4 linked regions of the Oreochromis niloticus genome follow. The protein of the gene in region 2 purifies or fractionates together with the protein of the main gene of each other region. This does not show direct contact. Links are inferred from orthologs where the notes say so. Each region holds a gene or a part of one and is shown on either strand. Other genes may lie near its edges. The genes, in order: med24, cdk8, med23 and med16.

Region 1 (7,630 bases), on a different chromosome or scaffold from region 2:
TATAAGGTAATGCAGTAATACACAGAAACCCAAATGATCAGATGACCCCCTATGAGCAAGCACTTGGCGACAGTGGGAAGGAAAAACTCCCATTTAACAGGAAGAAGCCTATGGCAGAACCAGGCTTAGTAGCTATAACTGCTTTTCTTATGTATATAATCTTATTTTGAGATCAGGGGCATCTCCAGTGACATTTACGAGCACTTACTTGCATCGCTGATCTGCTTTGTCCAGGAGTGGCGTAAGCTTAAGTAAATACTGAAATGCTATGTTCACATCCTCCATGAAATCCTGGGAAATGCAACGTTTGCACATTTGAAAGTGACAAAGACAGTTTATGACATTACACACGCAGCGCTCAATATCTGGGTGTTAACTTACAATACAAAGATCAGTCAGGCATTTACTTTACCTGTCCTTTGTCACTCTGAGGATATTTCTTTAGTCGGAGTAGAACTTGCGGGATCTGAGATGAAGAAATCACAAGTTAATTTCATCTGATTTCTGTGGAGTGTAGACAGTAATATTACTACCAAATTAGTTTCATGCAGACAGCTCAGAGGGGAGATTTATAAAATCACTGCACAAAATTTGGCACACTATTCCTTCTCTAAACTAAAAATCCACAACAAACAGAGTCAAGGAAGCAGTTAATGATATAAACAGCAAGTAAAGGCAGCAAAAGGCAGAGAAAAAGACAACAGAGGACCAAGTTTTCTTCTTTGAAGTAGAGCTTACCTTAAGGAACGTAAAGGCAGTCCATTTAAGCTCTTCTGTGCCCTCTGGTGACTCAATGAGGCCAGTGAAGCAAGCTTTCCATATCTCCAGGACAAAAAGGGGAGCAGGAATTCGCTGATGGGAACAGAAACACTCCATTTACATCACACAAAACCTCACCAGGAAAGGCTGTGTAATATTTTGGCCAAAAGCTGAAATGTTTCTTTTCTGTGTGTAATGAAATTCCTTTGTCCTATAAAATCTGTCAGTCTAAATTTTTACTGTTTGATTTTTTTCACAGCTTAATGTTCACCTGCATTCGTTTGATCATCATTAACTGCTCCACCAGCGGCTGTATCTCTCCTGTCAAATTCATAGTCCCTTCCAGCATGATGAAGGCATGAACTGATGGAAAGGAGGCATGAACTGGAGGGTCACTCTGCTCAGACAGCATCATGGGAATACTGAAGAAGAGAGTGGAGAAATCGGCACAAAGAAGTCAGATGGGAGGCTTGAAACTATTGTCAAATTAAAGCTTAGGAGGATCATTTGCTCTGTATTAATGTGTCAGCCTCACCTTTTTACTAGTGACAAGCTCTCCTCTAATTTAGTAAGCAGCGTTGAGTTACTCACACTACTAAGACCATCTATCAAATTAAGCACAGCTTGCTCTACATTGCTCCAGGAACCTGTTGGAGAAAAAGCAGCAGCAGAAACACTGTTTAGATGCCACGATCGGCACAAAAACACACTTTAAAGATTTGGCCAAAAATGACAGTTTTAGCTTAAGTGACATTTTTGTATCACTATGGCTGAATGGCAATAATTTCAACAATTGCCAGATCCCATGCATATGCAGGTGTTTGCCTTAGAATGACTTAATATTAAAAGGCAAATAAACTGCCAACAAACTTTGAGAGCATGTTAATAGAGCCTCAGGTAATTTACACACTATATAGACGTACTGATACATCAGCAGATCTCAGCCAGACTTCACTGAGCACAACCCTATGTGTAAACAAATACCCACACACACTTATATACCTTGGTCCTCCAATCGGGCAATGTGGACTAAAGCTCTGTTCTTGGTGCTGTTCATCAAACTCTGGAGCCTTTCCTGGCAGGCTCCAAGACTGGTCTCTGTGCTGGCTGATGGACCCAGTTCTCTGAGCTTCTCACAGTACCACGCACAGCCCTGCACCAGCCACACTACCACTGCCAGCAGAGCCCGACAAAGCCCGATGCATTCCTCTGCTTTTCCGTGACAGCTGGATCAATAAGAGACAAGAAGCAGTGACATTTTAAGCAAGATGCACACTCACTGGTCCCTTTATTAGGTACACCTTGCTAGTACAGGGCTGGATCTCATCCGCTTCATGGTTTGTTGTGTTGTTTGATGTGTTGTGCATTTAGAGATGCTCTTCTGCATACCTTGGTTCTAATAAAACATTTCTGCATCAATCAGAATTTTAAAAGACGTGAATTAGATTAATGCAGATACATTAGAAACACTTAACATACCTAAGGCGATGGCAGAACATGTCCATTATTTCTAACAGTGACTTGACGCAGAGCTCCCGGGAAAAATCATCAAACTGTCACAGAAAAGACAAGTATTAAGATCATTAACATTTTCTTACAGTAAAAATAATTTTGCATTGAGTATTGTCATGCAGAAAACTACCTTGCTGATAGCCATAAGCACACTGGAATAAGACACCATCTATGGCAAGAGAGGAGACAAATCGCAACATGCAAAACAACCAACAAGGTTAGAGAATCTTCTCAGTTTCACACGTTTTCATTTGCTTTTTTAAAATACAACAGTGCTTTATCTCACCTGTGAACTTATGGCATATTTGAGATAAGACAAGATGAGTGGGTTAGGGGATGGTCCAATCATCGCCTGCTCCATCAACGCCTCTGAATTATATACAAGGAACAGTTAGAGCAACTTTAGAAAACACAAGAACCGGTATACTTAAACAGACTACTACCAACCTGCAAGGTTGAGATAGTCCCATGTAGCTCCCTTTGGGAAGTTTTTCTTGATGTTGATGGCCCACTGGTAATCACTCCAACGATCTTTCCAAGCCTGCAGAATGGCTTGCTTCAAATTGACCATCTTCATCCTGGCGGAGGAAAAAACATCAATAAAAATGGCCACAATTCAGTCACTGTTCGTTTTTACGCTGTAACACTCAAGCTTATTTTACACTATTCCCTAGCTACGTTAGCTTATGCTATTTGCTAATGAAATAGTTAAAGAAAACTTCTCCTGTCTGATGCCGAAAACAAACAGTTTTCACAATAAATTAACACCAAAACGAGTCTACAAAAGGGTGCTAAATCTGATACCTACCTGACGCTTTGAGTTTTTAGAAGCTTACGCTAAAATACATTTGTTTATAGGACCCCAGCTTCACAACGCAAGAATCGACGTTTTTGTTTTGAAAGACGTACCCGTTCATTGGTTAACCTCCTGACGTTTCAGTATTCTTCGCGCGGATTGGTTGAAGGGGAATACCGGCAGAGCTCCGCTCGACTAGCAGCAGATGTCGCTGTTTACAAAGGTAAGAATCAAAGCTCGACCTTAGAATTTATACCTTTTCCATACATAAGGAAATGAAGGCAGCAAAACTGTTGTTGTGCCTTCCAGTTAAGGGTAAAACATGAAACCAAAGAACTGAATAATTTTCTAATATAAACAGCTATTTTAGCGTGACACCTGTGATGTCTTGTTAGCCGTTTGCAGTGTTGTTTTGTTTGTTAGTGAAAATGAAGGAAAGTATAGTTCTTGCAGAGGCATGACTTAGTATTTTTGTGTTATGCAACTTTTTGTTTCTACTCCTTTAAATTTTGGAGGCAAATACAGGACTCTATACACCACCTTATTTATCGGAGATTTTAGCTAGGTTTAGATTACTCAGCAGTATGAAGACCAATTAAAACTAGCTACAACTACCATATTAAACTTGTTTACACAATATTGAATTGGTGATATTCTGAAATGAATCCTTATGTAAGTGCTTTTACTTTAGGTATTTTTAGAAGTTTTAGTTTTTAGAACAAGTCTTTCTAATACACTTATCTATATATATATATATATATATATATATATATATATATATATATATATATGTATACAAACTAAACAGACGCTTAACTTAATAACAACTGGTGTCATTTGTTTCCACATTAACCTAATTTTTCTTGTACTGTTAGCTGTAAAGTGATGACATAAGTTATACCTGATATAACTAAGTTGAATTTATTTTCTTTGATTATTTCATCCATGCATACAGTGAAATGCATTGTTGTCTTACATAACCACCTCATTCAGCTGTGTGATTCACTACCTCGGTGTAGCTCTTTTGTGTGTGCCAGTCCAGTCCCTTTCAGCAGGATTTTGTTTATTATGTCAGAATGTTGAGGTGGAAAAAAAGCAAAACAGGACATGTGTCTTTACAACAGTTCACACTCTTATAAAACCTGAAAGAAACAGGGGTGAAATAAACTATGTGGAAATGTGGAAATGGCTCCTTTATTTAGATTTAAATAAATAAACAAATCTGTTTATTCACAAAGCACATGCTCAAGAAGAAAATATATTCAGAACAATGCTGAAAGTGGCACTGGTATTTAAAAAAATTCTACTCAGGCAGGAGTTTCTCTTTCTCCTTTTAACTTTTGAACTCAGTTGTGTTTCTTGCTAAAAGGGATACTGTTCTCTATATCAAAACCACCCAACTACTTCTGTTAGGGAATATCCTGTATTGAGTTTATGACTACAAAGACCCTCATTCTGCCTGACACTGGAGACGGTGTCCTGATAGAGCGAAGTCTGTGTCCTGGGACGGCCCTGTGCCAGCCAGCAAGAGATGATCCATGCGTCCTGGCGTTGTCTTGGTAGGTGAGGGTTGGAGAGATTATGAAGTTGAGGTGTGTGTGTGTGCAGCGGTGAATTTGGGCAGAGTGATCTTATCCCCTTTGCCTTCTACATAGTGGAGAGCTGCATTAGTGGAGGGTACTGAGAGATCTGAGTCTACCCCTGGGGAGACCGGAGAGACTGAAGTCACAGCTCTGTGTCTGTTCTCATGACTTCACTGCCGGGACAGACCCAGTTTTGCTGACTCTTATTTTTCTTCTATGTAAGCTATTGAGTAATCCCATTATAACGGGACTCACTAGTTTTTAGTTTGTGGTGCTCAAAGTCTCTCAGGATTACCTGGATGTAGATACTTTCACTATGAAAGAACCCTGTATTGACAACTTATCTAATTTTGAAAATGGCCCATAGTTTTTAGAAGTATTATTTTCAGATGCTTATTATTTCTTCAAACTAATTTTTTTTAATTCTCTCAACACCACCAATACCTTTCAGCTACATAATAATGAGATAAACACAAGCTACTATCTCCAAACACCAGCAATTAACAATGAAACTATGTGGATTATGTGTTGCGTTGTGTTTTGTGTAATCAATTTATTAAATCCATTAGGGCCAATTGCTTAATAACCCATAATCATCCACCTGTATGGGGTGCACAGAGAGGCAGGAGATAATGATCCCTATGAAAGAGCAGAACTAAATAAATGTGATATTTCATAGCATGTGTTTCTATTAGATCTTTATATCTGTTATACTTCTCTATTCTGTTTTTTTTTAAAAAACACAACATTACTGTCATTCATTCTCTCCTGGGGCCTCTGGGCACACCAAGATAATTACCAAGGGTTCAGAACCAGGAAATGAGAGTGGCCCTCTCCTGTCCCCTCAGGTTGTCCAGTGATGTTGCTTCATGAATCAGGATAGACTAGAGGCAACTACTGTAACCAAGAGAAGGTAAGGCACATAATGTGTCAGTACATTTAATGTTGCATACAGCTTCTTTCTCTCAGGTTTGAACTCAAAATGAAAGTCTTTCTGGAGGGTGATGTAGAAACAGCAACTTTAACATAGGTGAACAATAAAGTGAGAGACATGAACATCTGGTTAAAGCTGTTAAAGCCATGGCAACCGACTTTGGGAATAACGTGTATGGGGAGGCTTTCTAAATTTGCTGACCCACTCTTGTAATGCAAACAATGTACATAGGGAAAGCACAGTTGCAGTAAATAACACTATAACAAATTAATATGCACTAAACACTCACCTTCCACTTCATTAGTTACACCTTGTTAGTTGTGGGTTGAAACCACTTTGCCTCCAGAACTGCCTTAATTCTTCATGGCATAGATTTAACAAGGTGAACATTCCTCGGGGATTTTGGTCCATACTGACATGAGAGCTTCATGCTATGTTATACTGAGATCTGGTGACTGTGGAGTCCATTTGAGGACAGTGAACTCATTGTGATGCTCAAGAAAGCAGTTTGAGATTATCTGAGCTTTGTGACATGGTGTGTTATCCTGCTGGAAGCAAGCAGCCATCAGAAGATGGGTACACTGTGGTCATAAATGGACCAACATGGTCAGGAACAACACTCTGGTGGTGTCTTAAGTGACGCTTTGTTGGTAAAAGTAAAAGTATTCCCCACACCATTATATTACCTCCAGACTAAATCATTGACACAAGGCAGGAGGGATTCACGCTTTCATGCTGTTTATGTCAAATTCTGAGTCTAGAATTTGAATGTTGCTGCAGAAATGGAAACTCATTAGACTAGGCAATGTTTTTCCAATCATTGTCCAGTTTTTTTAGCCTCAGTTTCCTGTTTTTAGCTGACAGGAGTGCCTCTGTAGCCCATCTGCTTCAAGATTCAGGTTGCTGTACAAGAGGTGCTGTTCTGCAAACCTTGGATTTAACAAGTGATTGTTTGAGTTGCTATTGCCATCCAGTCTGCCCATCCTCTGATCTCTGACATAAATAAGACATTTTCAACCAGAGAAATTTTGCTCTCTTGATATTTTCTCTTTTCATTCCATTTTCTGTGAGCCCTACAGATGGTTGTGTGGGAAAATCCAAGCAAATGAGCAGTTTTTGAAACAAGCCCGTCTGGCACCAACAACCATGCCACCTCCAAAATCACTTTTCCTCTTCATTCTGATCCTGAGTTTAGACTTCATCAGGCTGCCTTGACCATGTCTAAAAGCCTAAATGTGTTGAGTGGTTTTAACCCATATTAGAATTGTCGTATTGGTGTGCATAGAGAAGTTGAGGAGAATAACTTTGCTAAAAGAAAACAATAAACTTCTCATTTGACATAATAGAGAATTTCAAAATTTTGCCATTTCTAGTGTTTGTATTACAGCATTTATAGAACAGACAAAGAGCACAAAATATCAGTAAAATATCCCACGCTTTAAGAAAAAAAAACAACTTGGAACTACAACATGCAACTGATGACTGTAGCACTAACAAGATACCTGTAGATAGCAAAAATGTTAAATTTCAATATTTTAAACAATAATTTTAGACTGTAGTTAGGTATGGCACTTGCATTCATTATTCTTTTTAATCTATGAGGTCTTTTAATGTCTACTGGTGCACGGCTTACAGCCGTGGGCTTTTTACACAGGATGACAAGGATGGGTTGTAGGATAAGGCTGTTGTGTCTCTTCCATTTGGGCAACTACAAAACACATCTCAGTAATTGGATAAAGTCCAGTCACACTTCAGGATCAGTTTGTACTGTCAACTCAGCAGCGCTTTCAACTGGTTTTATTTTCATTTGTCTGACTAGAGACTGCTTTGGCATACAAACTGTTGTGAAGTGTCTGCTTGTAAAAATACATTGCGTGTCTTTATAGGATATATTTATTTATACCTCACTTTAATATAGTAATATCTGCCTCTAGATTATGTTGCTGCTATCATATTAAATCTTTGTCTGTTTTTATATAACGTTATATTAACCATTTTTTGCAGCATTCAATGAGCTTTGAACTACTTAAATTCCATCTAGTAACA
Region 2 (8,468 bases):
TTTTGCTACATATGATCACAAAAATGTAAGTGTGCTGCAGGCGAGTTGAGAGAGCCTAATGTTTGTGACATGTGTTTCCACTTCCTTGGGAGGGGAATGCAATTGTTGGAGCTCTGTGGCAGAAAACGGCATCTAACTCAGTTCTGATTCTCTGCCAGCTGTTTCTGTCAACGGTAATGCAGCAGAGGTTTAACTGCTCAACATGGAATACTTCTTGGTGGATGTGTGTGCTTTAATGAGACTTACCAATGCATAATTAGCACTATTTCAAGTCTCGTTCCTTATTACTGGTTGAAAGCGAATGTGAATGCATCGGCATTAAAAGGGATTTGGCATTTTTTAAAAGAAAGGACATGCAACCCCCCCCCAAAAAACTGCTATCAAATTGCATGGACATTTATGACCTAATTATGAAGAGAGGCCTATTTAAGTCATGTCTTTGTGCTCATAAAAATAGGTGGAAATCTGCAACCCATGCATGCATATGAATATAAACTAATAAAGAAATGCTTAAAACAAACAATTTTAAAAAAACCCAACATGCATTACCCTCATAATATGTATGATAAGTCATGTCATGCAGGTCAAGTGTGTGTGTATGTGTGTGTTGTGTGTTTGCATTTTACCCAGAGATCATGTTCAGCATAGTCAAAGAGCAGCCATACTTTACGGTCAGCATGTGACAGGAAAACCTTCTGCAGTGAGATGACATTGGGGTGCTTCAGCTCCCGCAGCAGCTGCAACATACAAACCCACTCAGAAGGCCAACCACACAATCTCATTACAGACATCATGAATGAAAATGACGTAACGAAAGAGAAACTTTGCACTTATTTTTGCGACTGTACTGATTACCAGAATTTATACTTAAACAGGGGGGTGGACACGATATCATCTCCTCAACTGAACACTTTTAATCTTTGGTAGTAAGATGTTTTAAAGAAAACCGCTTGTGAGGCAATACGTCATATCACTAATTCTGTGTCTACTCTCTATATGCACTGCATTAACATCTGCTTCCTGACTTTTCAATTTTACAATTGCTTGTATTTCACATTTTTCATTTTCTTGACAAAAACTAGCGTGTGAAGGTCATTCAGACGTTACATAAAGCACCTGGAATGGCAAGAAGGTGTTTAATCACAGACCAAACAAAAGGAACAGAGTAAGCCAAGCAGCTCTTACTGCAATCTCTCTGCAGGCTGACATGGAGATGCCAGTGCCTTCAATCTGCTTGAGGGCGTAGTCCTTATCATCCTTCCTACAAACACACAGACACACACACACACACACACACACACACACACAGAAAGGTAGAGCAACATCAACACCAGACCAGCCCAGACCAGTCCAGACTGAGGGCCCCCTGAGAGCCGTTTGCACAGCAACATAAAGGGGGGCACTTGGCAGCTGCCAGTGGGACTCTGAGAAGAGGCCGAGTTGCATTACCTCCAAATTTGTGTAATCAAGCTCACCTCTGAGGGTCAAAACAATAGAGAGGGAAAGGAAACAGGGCCTGTCTGGCAGCTGGCAAGGGACAAACAGAGCACTGGCACTGGCGCTTACTTGAACGAATTGGTTACAACCCCTCCCTCTGCCGGGCCTAAATCATCTCATAAACCCAAGCTTTGTGCCTCCTCAGGCCTCGTCCAAAAGCAGCAGCGCAACTCTGCTAAAAAGTCTCATAAAAAAAGCAGGCTCCTAAAGCGAAATACAGACATCTTTAAACACTTTAGGACTCTTTTGTGTGGTTCCTGCTGCCAGTATGTCCGGGCTGTAATAACGGGACTAGTAGCTTAAACCGTCTTGAGCTCTCCCCCAGCTCTGGTCCAGACACAGTTAAGGCTGTTACAAGGCTCACATTAGAAACAGCAGGAAAGTTTTAGGAAGAAAGGTGGGTGGTGCCCTGGCATCCTGAGGGATTAGCACACTAACCATGCACCACATAAGTCTACAGTTTGGGTTCAGCTATTTCCCTTACTTTACTTCATGCAAAGGCTAAAAGCATAAAAAAAATAATGATAAAATTGGGTAAAAAAAAAAAAAAAAAAGACTTAAGAGTGCAAAAACTGGGCATAACTAAAGATTATTTTTTGAATTCACACAAAATCTTGTAAAAGTCTCTTTGGTATCATGTATAACAAAGACTTAAAAAAAAGAAGACATCAACAAGTGCTTCCACATGCACCTGCTGTATTACATTTACTACATCGCATGGGGGGGGGAATTAAAAAATACTTTAGCTTAAATAAATAAAAAATAGTACCTAGAGTTAGGCATATACGTGACAAAACAGATGCATGAAAAGGGAAAGCTCCAATCCCGGTGGTAAACCGTATGTCGGTGTTTTTTGTGCGCGACACAAAGCTTCATCAGCATCCCAACAGTGCGAGCTGAAACTGCTCACACTGCTCTCTTTTGTCTCTACACAAACCCACTGCAACACTCCCACATCTGCAAGTGGCCTTGAAAGGGGGAGGAAGAGGAGAGAGGTAACATTTATTTGGAAGATGAGAAGAGAGGCAGGAGGCGGGGGGGTAAGCTGGCTAGGGTTCACTGGCTAAAAGGCCTTGCTGCTCATCAACTCACCCATCTTTTCTCTTCGCCTTGTATACATGGCCGTAGGTGCCTCTACCCACTTTGCATCCTTCGTACTCAAACAGGTCCTCGACACGCTCTCTTTCGCCGGTCAGCTTCACTTTAAAATCATAGTCCATTTTTACCACCGTCTGGCCTGAATGTATCCGCTCCTTCCTTTTTTAAAGCGTCGCTTGGGAGGCAACTAGGCTCCTCCACCGAGCTCGGTTTGGTAATTCAGCTAGTTGCCTTCTCCAGCGTGGCTCTTTCCTTCCTCCAGCCCGGCTTTCACATCGAGTTCTCGTCTTAAATTTAAAGCTCCGGAGGAGATATGCGGCGCTCCGAGATGGTCCAGGTGGAAACGGAGCCCCAAATATATTCCTTTATCTTGTTGCTGCGTTTCTCTTCAGCCGGTATCTGCTCCGAAGGGACGCACTTCACTCGGTAACGACGGCGTATTCGCGCACGGCATTGTCGTAAAACGTCGTGAAGACAGCCCTGCAGCAGAGAAAGAGCCAAAGAAAAAATGGGTAGGCTGGCTATACCACGTGGAAATTCTCACTCTCACTCAAATATAGCTGAGATATGACTTGATATCATCGTATCGTCTTTATGCTAAGGAGAAGCTAGCTTATTATTTTCCGTATTGTGGGTTATTACGTGGCTATAAGAGGGCTGTGCAAACAAATATCTGCACATTCTGTCCACCACAAAGAAAGCAGACATGCATTTGATTTTAATTCAAGAGAATAAGTAAAGTATGGTTTAAATAGCACTATATTGTGAAAAGAAAAAGACTGTCCAAACAGATTAATGTTGAATGGGCAGTCACGGGATAAAGTAATGAAACGTATAAAAAAGGGAGACAAAAAACAATATACTTTTAAACTCTTTTTATCATCTTCTTTTTGCTGCTTCCTTTAGTGGTCACCACAGTGGATCATCTCCCTCCATCTCACCATATCTCTAGCATCCTCCTCTGTTACACCAACCCTCTGCATGTCCCCCTTCACTATGTCCATGAACCTCCTCTGTGGTCTTCCTCTTTTCCTCCCTGGCAGCTCCATCTTCAGTACCTTTGTTCAATATATCCACTATCCCTGCTCTGCACATGTTCAAACCATCTCAGCCTTGCCTCTCTAATTTTGTTTCAATTTGAGGTGTGCCTCTGATATGCTAATTTCTAATCTTGGTCCCACTCCCATTGGAAATCTAAGTGAATCAGTTTAAAGTATTTTAAAAGTGGAAAACTGCTATGATTGGTCCAAGAACCTATCCACTCATTACCATACCCTGGAATGTTGGAAGAGCTATTTTAGCTTCTGCAGCCAGCAACCTTTATAATTGCCAATAAAGAGTGGCAGTTATGACTGAGATACAATATATGATTAGCTGAATATTTAGAATATTTAAAATAATTTAAACAAAGGCATCAAGAACCCTAATGTGAAGCTTGTTCCCACCACTAAAAAAAAGTCAAAATTTCCGTGTTTTAATCTCGAAATGTAATCTTACTAACTCACATTTCTGAGAAAAATACTTTGAAGTTTTAGATAGTATAGTATAGCTGAATAAAAGTATAGCAACTTTATAAATGATGCTTTTACACTGACATTCACTGCTGTCACCTAGGTCAGCCAAACCTTGAGCTTAGCTTTGATGTTATGTTAGGTAGGAACTATTATAGCCGGGCATCTTGTTTTTGACCGACGCTGTAGTGCAGCACCGCTGGTCCCATCTTGATTTGAGAGAGCAGAGAGAGCAAAGCGAACCGTCCATATTACAGCTGCCTCGTCAGGTACGAAATTCTTTTACATGCCACTGTCATCTCTTATGAAAGTGTGTTAGGGTTAAGTGATAGGTTCCGTGTACTCCCACTGCTTGAGAAAACGTTCTGTCATAATAAATTATGATAAGTTAATGAGCCTCGTAGCTCGCTGGTGGGTCGGCTAGCGGAGCTATGTGGTAGTCGCTAACGCTGGTTGTGCTAACGAGCTAGCGCTGAGTTAGTAGCTGAAGCATTGCGCACTTAAATGGCTTTTTAAATATCCACAATTCTAATTGTAATGTTGAGCCAATGTTGTCGTAATCGCTACTATGTGTCAACATCTCGATTTTGTAATTCTCTAATAGCGCTGACGAGATTCTTTGTCTTTCACTGTTTGCCCTGCGTTTACATGGAGGAAGCCTCCCTTTCGGTTTATCACGGCCCGCCTATGTTCAACGCTGATTGGATGCCTGGCGTGTCCGTCTTGAGATTACGCCGCTGATTGGTGGCTAACCAGGATGACAACGCCAGTTTTGTTGCTTTATTCCGCTGCCTTCAACATGGCCTTCCGTGGATACTGTTGTCACTGCGTTAATGTTAGGTTTCGTGATGACTGCTTCATTGTTACACTACCCCTTAGATTTACCGTGGTAGGGATTTAACTGAGCATGGGCATAATTAAATTTGATGAATTTTCGGCGCTAACCTCTAGGCTAAACGTTAGCAAGATTAACGTAGCCATTTCCATTCTTTTGCTGTAAGTGTTTCGACAGAAAATGGATGGCGTTGATTTAACTGTTGCCCTTGGGTAGAAATAGTCACTCAAAGACAACGTTGAGCAAACAGCTCATATTTGCACTGTGTTTTGCGCTGGTCTTATTTATAGCAACTGCTCGCTATATAACAGTTTGATCTTTGCTTGTCCATAACCGAATCAGATGACCATTAGCTAACACATGACTTGTTCATCTGCAACATATTAGAAAGACAAATATCTACAGAGGGTAACTAAGTGACAGATCATCCGTGACTGACTCTTGCTTATTTGTCTGCCAGCACTTTACACGGTGATGGACCCTCCTGGTGGGGGAGATGAACGGCGGAGGCAGGCAGAGCGTCTTCGAAGGGAGGAGGCGTACTATCACTTCATTAATGAACTGAGTGAAGAGGAGTACCGTCTAATGAGAGATGGCAACCTGCTGGGCACTCCTGGTAAGGAGGGGCACTTGATGCTTTTGCGCCATGTTGTTGTATCTGTACCCACAGTTATTTTTATTGTACAAAAAACACAAAGCCCATGAAATATTTGTTTTACAGGGGAGGTGACTGCTGAAGAGCTCCGCCAGCGTCTGGATGGAGCAAAAGAGCGTTTGTCATCTCAGCCTTCTACCGAGCAGCGCTCACAGACTTCTGAGTCTGGAGAGCAGCAGAGCAGCAGCGGTGAGGGAGAAGAGAGAGGTGCTGGAGGGAGACGAGGAGCAGGTAGGAAGGACTTCTTCCCTTAATCTTTCCAGATCTGGCTTTTGTGATGTTTTGTTTTATGTTAAGCCCCAAAGTCACTTTTGAGTTAAATGGCTCTGTGGTATAGTGGTAGAACATTCACCTTACATGCAAAAGATCTGTGGTTTGATTCTGGGGTGAGAAGCAGAATCAACCTCGTGACTTTTGTAACCTGGCAGTTTGCAGCAGGGTTTAAGATAAGAGTTTAAAATCATGTTAGTTCTCGCTGCAGTTTTAAAGATGTATCAGTAGAGAAGGTCAGAGATTCGCAGATTATACTTAGGGAGATGCTGCAGCAGTTTGAAGAGATGGAAAAAATTTTGCTCTGGATTTATTTCAAATGTCTTTACTTTCAGTTTTGTCTACTTCTCTTCCTATCAGCACTAATGTGGTGGTAGTGTCTGAGTCACGGCACCTATCATTCATCAGAATACAGCAGCAGCTACCTGCGCCTGTCCGATGAGAGTAAATAGAAGTGGCTATGTGACAAGCACTGGTGACGTGTGAAGTCACAAACGAAGGGGTATACCGGGGTCTTTAGGGATCCATCTGCTGTGGTGACCCCTAAAGCTGCGTACACACTGGAAGCAATTCACAGCAATGTGGCGACTAGAGACCCTAGAAAGTCATCAAAATTCAAGTGAATAAAGACAAAATGAGTGCTGGGGAAAGGAAGTAGGTGTCACTCGTGATAAACCGTTGTCAACTTTCAGAGGAGTAAATGAACAGACGAGTAATGAGATTGAAGACTACCCATGATTGACATATGACCTGGTAGTAAACTTATTAGGGGCTTACTGAGGGAACTGGAGCTTAGAATGTCCACAAATGACTGGCCATCAGCTTCGAAGCAATGTCCAATGAACGAATCATTTCATATGTGTACGCAGCTTTAGGAAATAATGGAGCAGCTTTTACGGCCCGCCTAGGGGTGGCCAGACCATAACATAAGGGTGATCCATCCCTATCTGACCCCAAGCAACACATCGCACAATCAGTACTTTTTGACTGTGATTTATTTACAATAAGTGAATTTAAAAACAAAGGAAGGGAGCGAATTAAAACTTCGGGGTGGACCTAAGGCCAAAATAACAAACAAAGGGAGCCTATCTCAAGGATAAATCAAACTTACCTACTCAAAAGAATTAAACCAAACGACAGCGACTTACCTTCCTAACTAACAAAACAGGAGAAAACTCAAACAAAAAGGCAGTCCACCCCTACATGCTCCTGCATCAAACAAACATAGCTAAACAGGGAACACAAAGTCTGCTGGTTGGGATTGGCCGAGGATGAATGAACGGCCGTCCATGGCGGTGTCTTCCTATATGTTGTTCCCCGGTCATTAGCCAATCCGTACGATCCGTCCCCTGGATGCACCAATCACGGAGAGGCACCTGCACACTCAGACTTGCATATTAGACGAAATAACGACAACAGTCAAAACACAGCCAAAAGTTACTTAATTTTTGATTTAAAAAAATCAAAAACACAGGACAGGAAAAACACAAAATAATCTTTAAGGACTTGCTTTGGCAGCAAAAAAAAAGAAAAAGGAAAAAAAAAGGATGACAAAAGACAGGTTTCATAATATGTTCTGTGAAGGTCTTGTATTTATTTTAAACCTTGCCTAAGCTGGTACCAAACAAGACGGCGTGCTTTGTTGAACCGTGTTTGTATTTATGTTTTAGCCTGACAGTAAATACAGTCTAAGTACTGGTTTTGAATAGTTTAAAATGGCTTTTATATTGTTGCAAGAGAACAAAAGCAAGATTTCTGCTAGAGACCTGTGAAAAGAGAAGTAGATTTAATGATTTAATTTACCTAATCGTAACCTTTTTTTTCTTCTTTTTTTTCCCCTTCCTACAGGGGGCACAGAACCTGGAGCAGAAACTTCTAATGGTGACTCATTACTGGAGTGGCTGAATACTTTCAGACGCACTGGTAATGCTACTCGCAGCGGGCAGAGTGGCAATCAGACATGGCGTGCTGTCAGCCGGACCAACCCGAACAGTGGAGAATTCCGCTTTAGCCTGGAGATCAACATCAACCATGACCAGCCAGAGCCAGGGGAGCATAATGAGACTGTGGATGCCTCAGACCCACCAGTGACTGCCCCAAATACATCACCCTCAATACGAACTGCTTCCTCCTTTTCAAGCTCTCGCCCTTCAACCACGCCAAGGCCTGCCCCGTACCCTACCCCCCGCCCAGCCATTAGTAGGCGGGTGCAGACACGGCGTACACGCAGCAGCACTACCACACTTTCCATGAGCCCCCCTGCACTTCCTCCACCAGTGGCGTCCTCAGCTGCTACTCAAAGGAGAGGTGGCACTTTGCACTCTTTAACACCTCCTCCCAACGTTCCAAACCCTCCTCCTGATCAAACTATACCTGTACAACAGCAAGCCTTGAATGTAGAAGGAGAGCAGGGGCGTAATGATGCGCCTGCTTCTATAGACTGCCCCCGGGTGTCATCCCAGTCTGCGACACAGGCTCCAGCAGCGGGACACGAATCCCGTGGCAGTAGGACTCGATCGCATGGTCGCACACGCAGAGCTGCATATGGAAGTGGGCTTTCATCGCGCATGTCAAGGCGAAGTCGTTCCCCTTTACACAGAGT
Region 3 (8,463 bases), on a different chromosome or scaffold from region 2:
AACTGTCTGAGCTTATTAAGGCCACGCACACCATCCTAAAGACACGAAGATTAATGAGATAGACAAATAACAGATTATATTGGGATGTCATAAAACAGATAAATTAAATATAATAAATTAATATATGGAAATATTATAAATCATTCTTTGAACCCATTTTACTTCTTTAGGTGTCAAATAATCTCACACTATATGTCTCTGTGTACCTGGGTGGTAATAGACTGGTCTCCACAGCCATTGCCAGACAGTCGTAGAGGAAGGAGATCCTCTTGGGGCTGTGCTGACTGTGTATAAAGCGCACAATCCATTGCACACACTGTTCATGAGACTCCTGCAGAAAGACGTTGGAGCAACTGAAAAATCTCAGCCATGTAAGTGTGAGCAAGTGGGAGTGCATGTGTGTGTGTGTGTGTAAAAACCTGTGGCAGGGTTCCCCAGTACTGTCTGAAGGCTCCAAGACAACTGATCAGCTTAGTCCTCTCATCCTCTGGAGTGTCCATAAACATCCTAAAAACACACTTCTTAATTTTAGCATTTAATTTTGCTCCGTACATTTTAATATACACACATCGGCCACTCTTGTTAGCCACATCTTTTCAATACAGTTATCTAATCAATCGATCACACGACATCACCTAACTGCCTTTAGGCATGTGGACATGGTCAAGAAGACCTAGTTAAGTTCAAGCTGAGCATCAGAATGGGGAAGAAAGGTGATTTAAGTGACTTTGAACATGGCATGGTTGTTGGTGCTAAACAGGTTGATCTGATTATTTCAGAAACTGATGATCTGCTGGGACTTTCCCCACATATACATCTCTAAGGTTTTCAGAGAATGGTCCAGAAAAGAGAAAAAAAGGCAACAAGCAGCAGTTCTCAGGGGGAAAATGCCTTGTTGAAGTCATAGGACAATGGCCAGATTGCTTCGAGGTGATGGGAGCGAAAAAGCAACTCCAATAAACACAACCCCCCTATTCAGAAGAGCCTCTCTAAACACAACATGTTAAACCCAGAGGCAGATGGACTACAGCGGCTGAGGAACATAATGGATGCCGGCAATGTAAGCTAAGAATAGGCAACTGAGGCAAAGCAGGATAACACAGCATGTCTTAAAATTCAAATTACATCAAACTAGTTTCTTGAACATGACAATGAGTTCAACGTACTCAAATGATCTCCACAGTCACCAGATGTCAATCCAGCAGAACAACTTTGGGGTGTGGTGAAACAGGAGATTGACGACATGGATGGAGCAGCCGACAAATCTGTGTCGCAACTGTGTGATGCTGTCATGTCAATATGGACCAAAATCTCTGAGAAATGTTTCCAGCACCTAACAAAGTGGCCTGTGAGTCTTACTGCTAAAACACTTCTGATAATCAGTTGTCTGCTTGACGTTTATTCAGCTGTGTAAAAACTATAACTATAACTATAACATCCAGCAGCACTACCAGTGTGCAGTAACTTAACATTACACTAGGGCTGCCACGATTAGTCGACTAGTCACGATTATGTCGACTATCAAAATCGTCGACGACTAATTTAATAGTCAACGCGTCGTTTGAAGCTTTGTAAGATCCCAAAAGACGCAGGAATAAGTAGTAGGATTTAAGAGTGTAATAACGGACTGAAACAGAAGATGGCAGCACTGCATGTACAAGGATGCCAGCTGCCGTTAAACCCCGAAGAAGAAGAAGCTGTGTCCCAGAATTCATAGCGCGGCCCTGCTCAGTTTTCAACAATGGCGGCAGCTAGTTAGCTTTAATGTTACTCTTATTATTCTTTCTGGGTCACAAAATAAACGTTTAATATATTTTCAGGCGAGAATGTAGCTGTGTAAACTTCAAATATCTGCTCAGTTTATCAAGACACCACATATTTTCAAAAGCGCTCCGACGTTTTCGGAGACGTCTGTTACCCATTAGCTCGATACCTAGCCGGGGTTCAAGGCTCACTAGAGCCGGTGAGAACACCGGACTCCCGGCAAATCGTTTTCAAACCCACCGCCGTCTTTCGCTACTCAGGTTAAACATGATGTACAAGTCACTTAGATAACTTAAAAATGATATTATTGGGCTTTTTTCAGTATTTTATTTGTTCCTGAGTAAATCGGTTTGGCTGAGATTAAAGTTATAGTTTTTACACAGCTGAATAAACGTCAAGCAGACAACTGATTATCAGAAGTGTGAGATGCTCGAGAATATACTCCGGTGTCCTGTTATATTTTAGATAGCAAGGAGCAGACGGCTGCGTTTATTAAACTCCACCGAAACAATCTGCAAATTTCATTTAAATTTAATAAACTATCCTCTTGTCTTTATTTTTAGTTAGCACCTTAAACACTTCAAGCTGTAAGCTAATGATAGTTATATAAGAGCAGACATGTGCTAGTGCAATAAACTGTACGTTTTACGTTCAATGGATGCATGATCTGATTAGTCGACTAATCGCAAAAATAATCGGTGACTAGTCGACTATCAAAATAATCGTTTGTGGCACCCTACATTACACCTAAGCTAATAACAATGCAATTGCAAAATATCGGGGGTTATTAACATGAATTCAGAGCAGCCTTACCCAGCAAAGGCCTCTTCTATCATCTCAGTTTTCTAAGAAAAAAAAGGAGAAAATAAAAACGCATTAACGTAAGTGAAGACTTGTGATATTAACGGTGCACCCTTAGCTGTTAATTCTTATGTTAGCGAGCTGGAGACATATAGTAAAAACACCATCTGGTTATATTTGCAAACCAAAGTAAGTTCAGTAAATAGAAAATACTACTACAGTTATCTGAAATGCTAACTAATGTTAGCTTGGCTGCCACTCAGTCAACAAAGATGCAAGTTACCACAACATCTTCAAAGATGCTCTGAAGCTGCGTTTCCATCGAAAGCGCCATGTTTGCAACCAAAAGACAATTATTCAACGAACCATCCCAGAATTCAAACCCGTCACTCCTCTACGGGAGCACAGTCGATAACCCCAACAAGCTAAATGCTAAAAGGAAGCAGAATGAAAGCCGCCGCAGGAGAAGCGCGATGGCAAAAACAATCCGGGCATGCAACGGAAACACAAGCGGAACAGTTCCGCTCCATTGTTTCTTTGCTTAATTATTATTATAAATTGTAATTCTCATACCTCAGTAATTTGCAAATAATAAAGTTACACATTAATAATATTATTTTTTTCAAATATTTCTCACAACGCTCGCATTTTTGAGAGTTTAAAATCTGTATTCAAAAGTCTGTCCCTTCACTAAGACAGATCTGTGGCCACCAGATGTCACAATGGACGATGTTTGAGCACCTGCTGTTCTTCTCGATATTTGCTAATTGATTTTTCCATGTTTTGTTTATAGCTTTCGTGAGGTTCGTGGTGGAATAATTGTGGTGTGATGAAGAAGAGTAAGAGTAAATGTTTACGCTTTAAACAAAACAGCTTTCTCTTTGCAAATGGGTTACCCAGGTTTAACTCAGTAGGGTCAATATTAATTTTTAATATCTAATCTCATTTGACAGTGTATTTAGAGAGAGAGAGGATATTAGCTGGGGGGAAAGGGACTAAGGAAATAACATGGTGCACCTTATTACCCAGGCTGCTATCCGGATAAACACCCCAGGAGCATCTTAAGGAAACTGTACCTGTTTCCACTTAACAGCCTCCACACGCCACACCACAGCAAAACTAAACACAGCTCACGGATTTATTTGGAAATGAGTCACGTATAATGTATTTTTCTTCTCACATATTGGAGTGGATCTGATTGTTTACTAAGTACTTATACTTAAGCTTAGATTTTTGTAGCCTATTACCTCAATGGACGCGGACACGCCCACGCCCGCGCGCGCGGCTGACAGGTGAACTGTTCACAAACGAGTAAGGTCACATTCCTTCTCCCATAAGAAACACGGAAACCTGTCAGGTCGCAGGGATTCCTTTAACTGCAGTCCACGGGGTTTCATTGGGTGGCAGTTTCATGTAACTCTTCCGACTTTAGCTACATTCTTTCACTTTAACCTTGAGTGCGTGGTTTTAATTTCCTTTAATCGAGAGAACTGCGAGCAGGTGTACTATGAGGAGGAGCTGGGGGGAACCTGCCGAGAGGACTGGAAGTATTTGCTTTTTTGTTTTTGTGAAAACATGACGACTCCATACAAAGATGTTGGCTATATTCACATTTTTCATTTTTTATAGCTTTCACTCCACAGGTAGGTCTGCATTTAAGTGCTAATATCTGTTTTCTTTGTTGTTACTTTGTGGATGCTGTGTTTCTTTGTTTCCACTGTTTCCATTTTGTGCGGTTAGTTTTATGGCGTTTATTCAATTCAAGCGGACTGACTTTTATGCTACAACAGTAGCCAACGATGAGATCATTAAAGAAATCTGCAATGAAACTGGGAACTTCTAAAAGCATTAACACATTGTAATTTAGTTCGTCCACTTTAAGTACAGAAAGCGGCTGTTCGAGCTATAAACGCATGTGGTTTTGTTAACACACAAAATGTATTAGTGCATGGAGCTCTACTTTAAGTGTAAAGTCACTTTACAGACTCGGGTTTCTCACCCGGGAGATCAAAGCATGAGAGGCATTCTTTGATCAAATTGCAAACAGAAAATGTAGTCTGGATAATCTTCCCATAGAGAATCTTTGATCAAACACTTTTATGGTGTTTGCCTACTTGAAATGATTTATAAGGAGCCGAGTGTACTGTGTGAGGTGGAACAAAGTCTGAAAGGCAGTGAATCATAGTGACAGCTCACACCTTACGGTTATATGTGGACAACTAGTTTAATAGTACCATTAAACACAGGAGAAGTTTAAAGGTCAGTCAGGACAACTAGAAGCTGGTGTATATTCTGATGACAGGCACCTCACCTCTTGTCTCGCTCCCCTCAGTCTCCCAGCCTGTCCCCAGCCCCATCAATGTCACCTTCTCTTCTGTAAATCTGAGGAACGTGCTGCAGTGGTTTCCAGGAAAAGGCAATCATGCAGATGAAACGCTCTACACAGTGCAATATGCCATGTGAGTAAATGTTTTAGAGTTTAAATAAAAATTCATAGTTCCCAAGAACTAGCCTGGATGCAGTCCCAAAGGGATTTATTGGCAAAAAAAAAAAAGTTCCAGCAAGGCTAAAAGAAATAAAATGCAACAAGATCTCAAAATCGGTCTGCTTTGTTTAAGTTCATTTTCTTTACTGACTGTGACTTTAAGCAAACTCTGCTCAACCTGTGCAAAAGTTCACCTCTGAGTGTGTGGGTCTTTGTCTTTGCCAGCTATGGAGACAGAATTCAAGGTAAGAAGGGAAAACGGGTGAACTGGAAGGCAGTGCAGCACTGTACAGAAATAGTGCGGACGTGGTGTGATCTGACCAGTGAAATGTGGGATGCGGATGAGGATTACTATGCCAAAGTTCGTGCTGTGGAGAGGGGAGTGTCTTCCAAATGGGCTTTCATACCCAGAAGATTCAATCCAAAGACAGAAAGTAAGTTAAAGAAACAAAAGCATTACAATATATTTAACATGTTTACACATTAAACAACAAAGGTTTGTCCAACCTTGTAGCTACTTTGGGGCCCCCACTGCTTTCTGTGGAAATTGAAAACACCAGTGCCATCATCACTATAAAGGGACCGATGAGGTATCCATCAAACAACCACACCCCAGCGCTTTCCATGGCGACACTCTACCCCGAAATGATTTACAACCTTTCTGTTCACAACACCCATCTGAACCACACGGTAGGTATAAATCAAGTAGAAATATATATGACTACTATAGATTGACTGCCCATACTAAGAAAAGTTTTAAAATTCTAGGACGTGGTGATATAATCTCTATCTGACGTTGCTGCCCTGAATTGCTTTCATTTAAAAACAGGATTGTCAGGCACAAATAAAAAGATTCATGCTAGACATTACATTGAAAACTTCCTTGTAGAGCACTGAGTCACCTACTACACCTTCATTTTTTTGGTAGTTTTTTTTTAATTGCTTAGCTATGACGACAAACTAACCTACACCCACAAAGCATAAACTTTTTGGTTTTTCTGCAGCAATTTTTTACAAAATTCTTTCCCACTCTCTAGCATTGCCTAATCTGTCCACTTGTTGGTTTTTAGCACCATTTCCCAGTTGTTGGCAGCGTGTACAAATACCGGCTGATGAAGTACAACATGGAATACTGCTTTTCTGCACAGTCGAAATTCCCAACGATGCCAATCCACTGCCAGTCCTCTGCATGGCTCTGCATAACCACATCTCAAGGTACAACTCCATTGCGTGACCGTGTCTGTAAATAAGAATATTCGGATGTAATGTAGAAAGGAATGTCAATAAATGTGTTATCAAAGCTGAAGAGCAATTAGTGTTTGTGCAGCAGGTGTATTGTACTTCCTTGTGTGAGCCAAATATGTCGGTCAAGGAAATGGTTCAGATTTTAGATTTATTTTCTTTTCAAATGACAAGCCCAAAAATGTCATCAGAAGCTGGATGAATAAATATTTTTACTGACTTCACCCTCTTTTTTTGTTTTTTTTTCTTCTTCTTCTATAGACCCTGTGATTGAGCAGCTGCAAAGTGTGATTGTGGGTATTGTTGTTCCAGCTTTGTGCATTGGTATGATCATTGCAGCTGGCTACCTTTTCCATCGCTACCTGTCTGGGAAAGACCAGCGCAGTCCAAATATACTGGTAATTGAAATGCATATAAACATACTGGCAATGCAATACCTAACCTGAACTTAATTTAATTAATGTAGGTTAGATTGGGTGGGTGGTGTGGTGTTTTTGTTTTGTTTTTTTTTGTTTTTTTGTTAAATATGAATTTAACAATTCACTGTAGGGACCCAGTGACATAATTATAGTTGCAAACTGAGACTATTGTTTGAAATTCACATAAATAATATGTTTCAGCAGTGTTTCAAAGGCAGATTATCAAACATTTCATACCTTTTTCCTTCCCCTCCAATTTCCAGAACGCATCTACTTTTTACAAGCTTCCTCTTGTGTTCCCTCCTGAGAATTCCAACCTCCTCTTAGTGAGCCGCCTCAGCCCTGAGCCACCAGGAGACTGCACAATATTAGACCCTAAACACCTCCTCGCCTCTCTAAAAGTTGTGGATCCCCCACCCAGGTACTCCCCCCAAAGGCATGAGCCTCCCTTAGAGCCCGAGGAACCCTTGGATGATTTGTCTGTTGACTACGGGGGTATCAGCATGGCTCCTCAAATCACTGTTGAAGGAGAAGAGGAAGCAAGGGGAGGGAATCAAGATGATGGAGACCGGAGAGTTGAGAGCGTTAACTCTGGTGGAGCTTACGCGCCTCAGGCTAACACTACTTGGACATGCAGACCAACCCCCATGCAGTTGCAGGGCCGGTCGTTTGCAGGTTTACAGTCTTTTCAGAGATCAAAGGAGGATGGAGCGATAAGAAGTTTACTATTAAGCATTCGGTTAAATCCGCAAACAATCAAGGAAGTAGAAAGGGGAGAAGAGCTGTGTGGAGAGGTGATCTGGAGCACAGATAGGGAGGGAGTGGCAAACAGAGGTGTGGAGGAAGGAAATAACTGTGAAAATGAGCCTTTAATGTCTGCTTATGCCCCACAGAACATTCCAAACATGTCTGCCTCCCACTCGGACCAATCTGATATCACGCTAGATGACTTTAGTGTCAATCATGAAAGAGGACTGGATGTACCTCTACTTTCAGGGAGAGGTAGAAGATTGAGTGAAGAGGAGTATGTGGCGAGAGCTAGGTTGAGGCTAGATAATGTTTCTGTCAGCCAAGCAAGTGACGAAGAGGAATAGAAAGAGTTAGAAAACGACAGGTGGAAACAGGGAGTGAGGTGGCGAAGGTTTTCAACAAATGGGACTTTGTTGGGATCCCCATGGATCAGTAGATGATATTCATCAGTAAAAAGCACTAACCCTGTTATTGAAAGATAATCCATGAAACATGGCCAGTATACAGTTTCTCAGCTCTATTAAAATGCATACAGTGTGTGATAAAAGCAGAGTTTTAGGAGCACTTAGTACTCACTTAGTAGGGTTACCGTTATAGCTGAAAATCTACTGATATACACATGAAGAAATCATACTATGATGAACTTTGAAGGAAATGTGTATTTATCTTAATTACAAGATACACTGTATATTTTTTTTAATGTAATTTCTTTTGTTTTTAATCTGTATTTTTCCTAATGTAGCTGTCTAATAGTGAAAGAGGATAATACAACATATGATCATAACAAAGAAACTACACTTCATTCTGGACTGGTGTCTGACATATCTCTCTAAGATAATCAGATGTATTGTTTTTTTTGTTTTTTGTTCTTTAAAATAGAAAGTACAACAAAATCCTATATAGGAAACTTTACACCGGTGTTTTCTTTTAAGTCTATGATCGCAGTGCACGGTAGATGTTGCATGACCGTACGTGTCCGTGTTTACTTATAAAGGTTGAATT
Region 4 (7,395 bases), on a different chromosome or scaffold from region 2:
GGATGGTCGGCTGCTTCTCTCCCACTGTCAGAAGAGGTCAAATAAAGAAAGTCAGGGCATTAAATACAAAAGGTCAGTGGTCATGAACTCACACACACACAGTCTGATTCTTAAAGCCTCTTGTTACTATGTCAACCATTAGCTGGCTGTTACATCACTTCCTGCTGGTGCTGGGTCTTCTTACCCACTGGCGAACGGTGCTGGAAGATATTATTGACAGGAAGTCCCTCCTTCCTCAGAGACCAGCACTCCACGATGCTGCCGTTCTGATTGGACGCACACAGCAGAACCTGAAAAGTACACACTTCCTCTGAGTTCTGAAGGTCCTGGTGGTCTCGGGTTTAATGGCCACACTTGTCTTATTGATCTGACTGTGCACACTGGTCTTACTTGCTCAGAGTTCTCCCGGGTCAGGAACTTGAGGTGGGTGACAGCGGGGTACTTCTCCCTCCTCAGCGGGTCGGTGGTGCAACGCAGGAAAAGTGACGGCAGCAGCTCAGTGTCAATGCGACATTTCTCACTCACCACGCTGACCACCACCTGAAACAACCAAAGGTAAAATGTCAGGTTAGCATCAGAGGTGATAGCCCCTTGGTGACGCCAGCAAATGTCAGGTTAGCATCAGAGGTGATAGCCCCTTGGTAACACCAGCATCTTTGGTCCTTACCTTGTAGAACTGCACAGGCGAGGAGCTGCTGCCATCTGTGGCAGCCACCACAATGTTCCCTCCTCCGGTGAAGGCAATATCGGCCAACGCCACGCGCCCTCTCAGCCGGCACAGGCTCTCGCTCGCCGTCAGCAGAGCGCCACCCGGTTTCAGCAGCGACACTGTCACCAAACCACTCACTGTCACCGCCAGCCAGCCCTCCATCGGCTTACCGCCAAACAGCGTTAGGGACGGTGAAAATTTCACCCGAGAGAACTTCTCCCCGAAGTTTGTGGAGCCAGACTGAAGCAAGAGGAGAAGAGGAGGCAGGGCTTACTCAACTGGTCTCAGTGAGTATTAAGACACAGAGCTATCACTGCAACGAGCCAGCAGGTGTGTGCACATGTGTGGGCAGCTATTACCATCTCCACGTGCAGTGCCAGCTTGACACCATTGTGCAGCCAGCTGAGAGCGATGATGGGGTCTCCATCTAGCGAGCTCGACAGGACACTCTCCCAGCTATTCACCAGGTGATCCGACATCGACCAGCATTTGATCTGCCCGTCGCCGTCTGCAGACAGCAGCCGTGAGCCTGCAGCACGCGCAAACACACAGACACACACGTCACTTCCTGTCTCTCTCAGCAGAACGTGACACTGCAACATGTACTGTACATAAAGCAAGAGAAAAGCAGATTCTCCTGCTTGCACAGTCTGAACAGCTTATAGCCAATCCGATTCCAGACCAATAACAGTCAATCAATCAGCTGAGCTCATCTCCAAAACATTTAACTGAAGTCTCACCTGATTGGTCCCACTCCAGACAGGAAATGACCTCAGTGTGTCCAGAGTTGATGGAGAAAACATCCCAGGGGTGCTCAGTGTCGATGATATGGATCATGTGACTCACATCTGGAAAACAGAACATCAAGTTCAGCGTGTGTTTGTGTGTTCGCCTGTGTGTGTGTGTGTGCGCGTGCGTGTGTATTTGTGTACTCTTGTCGTCGTCCTCGCTCTTCAGGTCTGTGGTGAAGGCCACGAGGTTCCTGCAGGACCAGGAGCAGACCAGCGGGATGGAAGGGCAGTGTGTGCTCTTCGGACGCTTCTCCCACTCACACACATAGGCCAGTTCCATGATTCCACCACAGAAGAAGAATCTAGAGCCCAGGTGGATGCGTCACCTAAAAAGCAGACCAGTCAGAGGGATTTAATCTTGTCAGCTGCTCTAATCACTTAAACACCAATTACTGACCTGTTTGTGTGGATAGAGCAGAGATGAACATGAGTGATCAGACCTCTGCCTTACCACTACATGTGTCAGACAGATGCATGAGCCACGGGCTCCCCAGTGCCACCTTTACCTGAAGTAGTGGAAAGTAAAGCTTTCAAAAGGGACACTTAGCCACTGGTACAGAGATGTGAAAAAGCAAAGCACAAGTAGAAGGACAAAAGAAAGAAAAGGAACACACATGTAAAGAAGAAAGCTCTTAAAACATGTGGTTGTCCCCACTGGGCTTTCATCAAATCAGCAAAGATGCACAGAAAAGAAGGTCAGACACCAACTAGGGAGAATAAGAAGGACAAAGGGGAACAACACTGTAATCCCGTATGTAGCAGGTTTATCATAGAAGCATCCCAGTGTACTTCAGACCCAGCCACACACTCAGACACAAACTAAACAACAGTGTATGCTGTGCAGTGCCGTGCTGCAAGGAAAGCTCAAACCTGTACACAGAAGAGAGACTCAGCTGTACATCTGCATCTAAAAGTCAAAGGTCACTCTTTTGAGGATGCCAATGTTCACATTTCGGACAGAGAGGACTGATGGTTAGTGGAAGAAGCATCTATGTCCACTGTGAACGAACATCTTTGAACAGAGGGCGGGGTTTACAAAACCGACTATTTCCACCCAGATCCATACCTTGGCTCAGGTGTCCTCAACAGGTCACACGATGGGCTGGGGCAACATCTCACAGTGGTTTCACCATTAAACCCCATTGATGGTAATGAGCCCCACCTTCTTTCATACCTTGGTTCTTGTGTTGACTCACATGATCAATAGTGGGTAACCCTCAGGATCACCTCCAATGGGGATTAAACACCTGGGACCCTCCACTTTAATTTGTAGAACTAAAGAAGCCTGTTGCATGAAACGTCTTTACAAACTTAAAGCAGTTCAGCTGCTTCCTTTTCAAACTGAGCATCAAACTGTTCACCCAGGCCGTGCCAAATAACACCATGGTCACAGTACTCAGTCACAACAGTGAATGAGCAGCTGCACTAGCCGCTAGCGTTAGCTCACCTGACGGTTTTCCGCTCCTGTCACCCAGATGAGAATGAAAATTAGCTGTTTTCCTTTTCCTGTTTTTAAGGCTGTTTAAAATTAACTTAAGGTCATTAAAACACCGAAACAGCAGACTTGAGTTGAATTCAGCGCTTTTTGCTTGCTGCTGTTAAAAACAAACCGCTCTCTGTTAAAAGGATGTGGGGACCCCGCGGCTGCCTCTACAGCTGCCTGACTATAAAACACTGACGGCACCCCGAAGCTCTACTCAAACAGCGTCAAGGCGAGACGTTTAAGCCACGTGTAATATAAACGTGTTTGTCTGTGAGATGACTGATATAACCTCTGTGATCAGTTTGATATCGGCTCTGTGCGACGAACCGGCTGTTAATCTGACGGGCGCCGCGGACACCCTCCTCTATCCCCGGGAACATTCTGCCCTCAGCGAAGTCTTCTAGGCGGAAAAAAAATTAAAAGATACCTGCATCGATTTTAGTTTATTGTGGTTTCCTTTACTAGTATTTACTAGTTGTTGTTTTTAATAATGGAAACTAAAGCTGAAAAAATATCCGACCTCGATGCATTGTCATCTTGTTCATCTGTCCAGAAACGTATTTTAAATCTGGTGTCAGGTGACTTTTTCTTTAGCTGTGAGTTCACACTGACAGGGTGCACACAGTGTTGCCAACTTAGCGACTTTGTCGCTATATTTAGCGAGTTTTCAGACCCCCTTAGCGACTTTTTTTCTAAAAAGCGACTAGCGACAAATCTGGCGACTTTTTCTGGTGTTATTGGAGATTTATTTATGGCCTGCATTTGTATAGCGCTTTTCTAGTCCATAGGACCCCAAAGCGCTTTACACTACATTCAGTCATTCACCCAGTCACACACACATTCACACACTGGCGATAGCAAGCTACATTGTAGCCACAGCTGCCCTGGGGCGCACTGACAGAGGCGAGGCTGCCGGACACAGGCGCCACCGGGCCCTCTGACCACCACCAGTAGGCAAACATGGGGTTAGTATCTTGCCCAAGGATATTTGGCATGCAGCCAGGATGCAGCCTGGGATCGAACCACCGACCTTCTGATTAGTGGCTGACCTGCTCTGCCACCTGAGCTACAGCCACGACTTTTTGACGTGAAAGTGGGCATCGCTTTTACTCTCAACAAGCAGCGGGTGCTGCCGTGGGCACCTCGCCCGTACCAAAGCGCTCACAGGCGGAGGATAGTCCTCCCCCAGCTGCTATCAGGGCAGACGATGTTCACACCTATGCGTCCGAACTGCAAATGAATCGCGCATGAGCGAAGCCGCTGCTCCCGCACTGACTGTAACGCAGTCAGTTCTTCTTTTACTGTTATGCTGTTTTGTGGATCACGAGGTTTAAAACTACTTATAAACACACACACACACAAAGTAACTCCACCAGAGTGCCTATTTCGGGTCTTTTTTGCCGGTCCAAGACCGGATAAAGGAGCAGGGTTGGAATTCTGACTTTAAAAAAAACAATAATTGCTAAAATAAATTTAATTTGTTGTTCTAAATAAATTCTAAATGCATTTAGGACGTTTTTTACTCACTTTATGTCTCTTCCACAATGTTATTTCTCTCTCCAGCAACGTAGGTTACAATTACATTAGCATGACCAATTATGCAAATTAGGCGATGATGTCATTTAGCGACTTCTGGCGACTTTTAGGACAGCCAATAGCGATTTTCCTTACTGAGGAGTTGGCAACACTGGGTGCACAGCTAGGGATAGGTATCGTTTAGGTTTTATCCGATACCGGTGCCAAACCGGTACTTTTGAAACGGTGCCGGTGCTTAAACGGTGCTCGAACCGGTGCTTAAACAATGGAAAACACAAACTTTGTCCTAAAACCTCTCATGTTTAGCTGGGGGGATTTTTGTAAAAAGATAACAATGTTAGCCTTTCCTGCAGCTATAGGGCATATATGGTGTCACTCTATCAAACAAGAAGACAGCCGCATGTAACTATGACGGTCTTTGCTAGTTCACCTTACGTGCATTAATTTAATAACGTGGTTAGCCTACTCAATGTAAATTACACACGAACAACATTAAGCTACTCACTCAGAGAAGAACTAAAAGAACGTACGTACCTGGGCCTGCCTACTATCCTTGGAAAGGTAAAATGATTGGCTAGAATCCAAAGTGTATGACATCTCAAGAAAAAAAAAGCACCGAAATGGGCGCCGCTTTTCGGTCTGGTTACTACCGTTTATGTCAGAACCTGGCACCGGATACCCATCCCTATGCACAGCTAGATTATGGTCTGATCCAATGATCTGCTGTATGAGTGAGTTCGATCCTCTGTTTTTTGATCACCTTCTGCGTTGTATCAAGAGCAGGATGCTGTCCATATGGTTGGTTTTTGTGTGGGCTGAAGTAAAGAAAGACTTTATTGAGAAACATCACGTCCTCTTTTCCTGTCTCCTCCTCCCTGATCCTGGTTTTCTTCCCGATTAAAGAGAGTTCTTCCTCTCTGCTGTCACCAGGTACCCTCTGATGTTGTTGGTCGTTTGTATAACGATGAGGTGAGTGTAACCAAACAGTGTGTTTGGTTATTGTGTTTATGTTTTGTGCTGTGTCGGTGTGTTTAAGTAAGCAAATGTATTTGTGTAGCACATGTCGGGATACAACAGGTGCTACAAAGGTGCTTTACATCAAATCAAAACACGAAACCAAAAAAACAGAAATGCAGGTAAATTACAAATAAACTAGAATGAAACGTCAGTTTAACCTCCTAGGACCCGGTGACCACATATGTGGACATCACATTTTGGGTTGTCTAGACCAAAATACAAACTTTTGCTCTACAGGGGCCTGATATCCAGTTACGGGGACATTATATTGCCACACTTCTATCAAAATTTAAAACGAATGTCCTCATATGTGGATCTCATTTTTCTCATAAACAAAAATCAGGTAAAAAAAAATAATAAATAAATCTGGTAATTCTTTGTTTTTACATTCATCAGGTCACAATCAGCCCAAATAGCAAAGAGAAATTAAAAATGCATGCCATGAAACAGTTCGGGTCTTAGGTGGTTAAAGCAGTGAGAATCATTGTTTAATTTTGTGTGGAAGGTTTAGTGGTAATGCTGCTAAAAACACATTGTGAACCTTTGTTTCAGAGATGGGTTTGGCGTGCTCTGTTTGGCTACACTTCCTGTTTCTGGATCTTTTGGAGAAAGTTAGAACCCTCTGTTCAAGTGTTTTTCAGAAAGCAGGTAAAACTGAGCTTCCTGTCGCTGTGATTCTGCTATAATACTGCAGCTGTTGGCAGATGTTTGTGTCTTGCAGTGAACCATCTGAATGTTTGAGGACTAAAAATCATTCTTTATTTTTGATGCATCATGAAAACAATCAGAAACTTCCTGTGCTGCTGTGTCAGATTAAAAGTCTGCAGATAAACACTGGAACTCTTTTTTTTCTCTAGATGAATCAGACACGTTGTCTCTGTTTTAGGCTCTAACCAACGGACTGCTGATTAGACAAGGGGAACTGCTGTCATCTTCAAGGACTAATCAGCAACAGCCATTTCTGTTGGAGAGTCTTTAGAAACCACTGCATCCCAGCTTGAGGAGAAACTCAGTCCTGTATTTCAGGATCTCCTGCCCTGCTGCTTGAGGTCGAGTCCTGTTTCGGAGTCAGGCACACTCACTGGTTCTCCTGGTTGGCAAATCGTCCGGCCTCCCAGAGCAGAGCTCCCTGGTTCTTATGTCGATTGACTCGAGTCGACTCCACAACCTGAAAACAGGCCAAGACGACAAGGAGTTAAGGAGACAAGGAGTAAAGGGGTTAATGTTACAGGAGAAGCCCATACCTCGTTGTTGATCTCATCGACTGGCTGGATTCCTGCGTACTGTAAAGAAACAGACAAATAAAAAATAGACTCTGTTATTATTGTGCAGTTTTAAAACCTCAGTTCCAACAGTCAGGACACTGGTTGAACTGCAAATAAAAACAGAATGCAATAAAATGCAAATCCCATAAACTCATATTTTATCCACAATAGAGCACAAAAAACACAGTAAATACTCAAAATGAGACATTTTACTGACAAATCTGAGCTCATGTGGAATTTGGCAGCAGCGACTCGACCTAAAAGTTGCGACGGAGCAGTAAAAGTGTGTCAAAGTCCGGCAGTGCAAAAGAAAAGATCAAAGGTGAGCTGGCAGCAGGTCGGTCACGTGATCAGGTGGAAAAAGATCCTCTCAGAGAGGCGGAGCTTCTCAGAGGTTCACCAACCTGTTTCAGAATCACAGTCCTTGCTGTGAACATATCATCAACTACACAATAAGACATCATCAGCATATTCAGTGGATCTGAGCGCAGGGATGAGGCTGTAAATCAGTATTGGATTTCTGTGATCTTCAGCTGTTCGCCTCAGCTCACAGACTGATGTTATGGAAGAGGAAACATGGACCTGTCCAGATGT

Evidence for each region.
Region 1: the proteins of cdk8 (region 2) and med24 purify together in Homo sapiens (affinity purification with mass spectrometry; 13 studies listed by BioGRID and IntAct, counting the BioPlex papers as one, with this or other methods). This does not show direct contact. The link is inferred for Oreochromis niloticus from reciprocal best matches to the Homo sapiens genes CDK8 and MED24.
Region 3: the proteins of cdk8 (region 2) and med23 purify together in Homo sapiens (affinity purification with mass spectrometry; 10 studies listed by BioGRID and IntAct, counting the BioPlex papers as one, with this or other methods). This does not show direct contact. The link is inferred for Oreochromis niloticus from reciprocal best matches to the Homo sapiens genes CDK8 and MED23.
Region 4: the proteins of cdk8 (region 2) and med16 purify together in Homo sapiens (affinity purification with mass spectrometry; 10 studies listed by BioGRID and IntAct, counting the BioPlex papers as one, with this or other methods). This does not show direct contact. The link is inferred for Oreochromis niloticus from reciprocal best matches to the Homo sapiens genes CDK8 and MED16.

The regions. Positions count from the first base shown.
Region 1 is NC_031973.2:19,693,915-19,701,544, reverse strand, and holds the start of med24 (mediator of RNA polymerase II transcription subunit 24), read right to left. Parts: upstream 3,211-7,630; 5' UTR 3,080-3,210; intron 2,850-3,079; 5' UTR 2,849-2,849; coding exon 2,719-2,848; intron 2,641-2,718; coding exon 2,558-2,640; intron 2,441-2,557; coding exon 2,402-2,440; intron 2,313-2,401; coding exon 2,239-2,312; intron 1,986-2,238; coding exon 1,762-1,985; intron 1,407-1,761; coding exon 1,295-1,406; intron 1,182-1,294; coding exon 1,031-1,181; intron 853-1,030; coding exon 739-852; intron 467-738; coding exon 413-466; intron 292-412; coding exon 209-291; intron 1-208. UniProt on the Homo sapiens protein: Component of the Mediator complex, a coactivator involved in the regulated transcription of nearly all RNA polymerase II-dependent genes.
Region 2 is NC_031974.2:18,858,979-18,867,446, reverse strand, and holds the start of cdk8 (cyclin-dependent kinase 8), read right to left. Parts: upstream 3,068-8,468; 5' UTR 2,718-3,067; coding exon 2,590-2,717; intron 1,262-2,589; coding exon 1,186-1,261; intron 738-1,185; coding exon 627-737; intron 1-626. Other genes in the region: E3 ubiquitin-protein ligase RNF6, read left to right, coding at 3,104-3,107, 5,402-5,557, 5,663-5,827, 7,715-8,468.
Region 3 is NC_031980.2:6,315,643-6,324,105, reverse strand, and holds the start of med23 (mediator of RNA polymerase II transcription subunit 23), read right to left. Parts: upstream 3,052-8,463; 5' UTR 2,900-3,051; coding exon 2,849-2,899; intron 2,610-2,848; coding exon 2,578-2,609; intron 508-2,577; coding exon 420-507; intron 332-419; coding exon 207-331; intron 36-206; coding exon 1-35. Other genes in the region: il20ra (interleukin-20 receptor subunit alpha), read left to right, coding at 4,160-4,208, 4,898-5,024, 5,276-5,484, 5,565-5,740, 6,121-6,265, 6,554-6,690, 6,975-7,805. UniProt on the Homo sapiens protein: Required for transcriptional activation subsequent to the assembly of the pre-initiation complex. Component of the Mediator complex, a coactivator involved in the regulated transcription of nearly all RNA polymerase II-dependent genes.
Region 4 is NC_031986.2:36,000,961-36,008,355, reverse strand, and holds the start of med16 (mediator of RNA polymerase II transcription subunit 16), read right to left. Parts: upstream 3,311-7,395; 5' UTR 2,948-3,310; intron 2,051-2,947; 5' UTR 1,898-2,050; intron 1,827-1,897; 5' UTR 1,781-1,826; coding exon 1,642-1,780; intron 1,558-1,641; coding exon 1,450-1,557; intron 1,239-1,449; coding exon 1,069-1,238; intron 950-1,068; coding exon 668-949; intron 541-667; coding exon 391-540; intron 291-390; coding exon 185-290; intron 25-184; coding exon 1-24. Other genes in the region: misp (mitotic interactor and substrate of PLK1), read right to left, coding at 6,615-6,704, 6,781-6,819. UniProt on the Homo sapiens protein: Component of the Mediator complex, a coactivator involved in the regulated transcription of nearly all RNA polymerase II-dependent genes.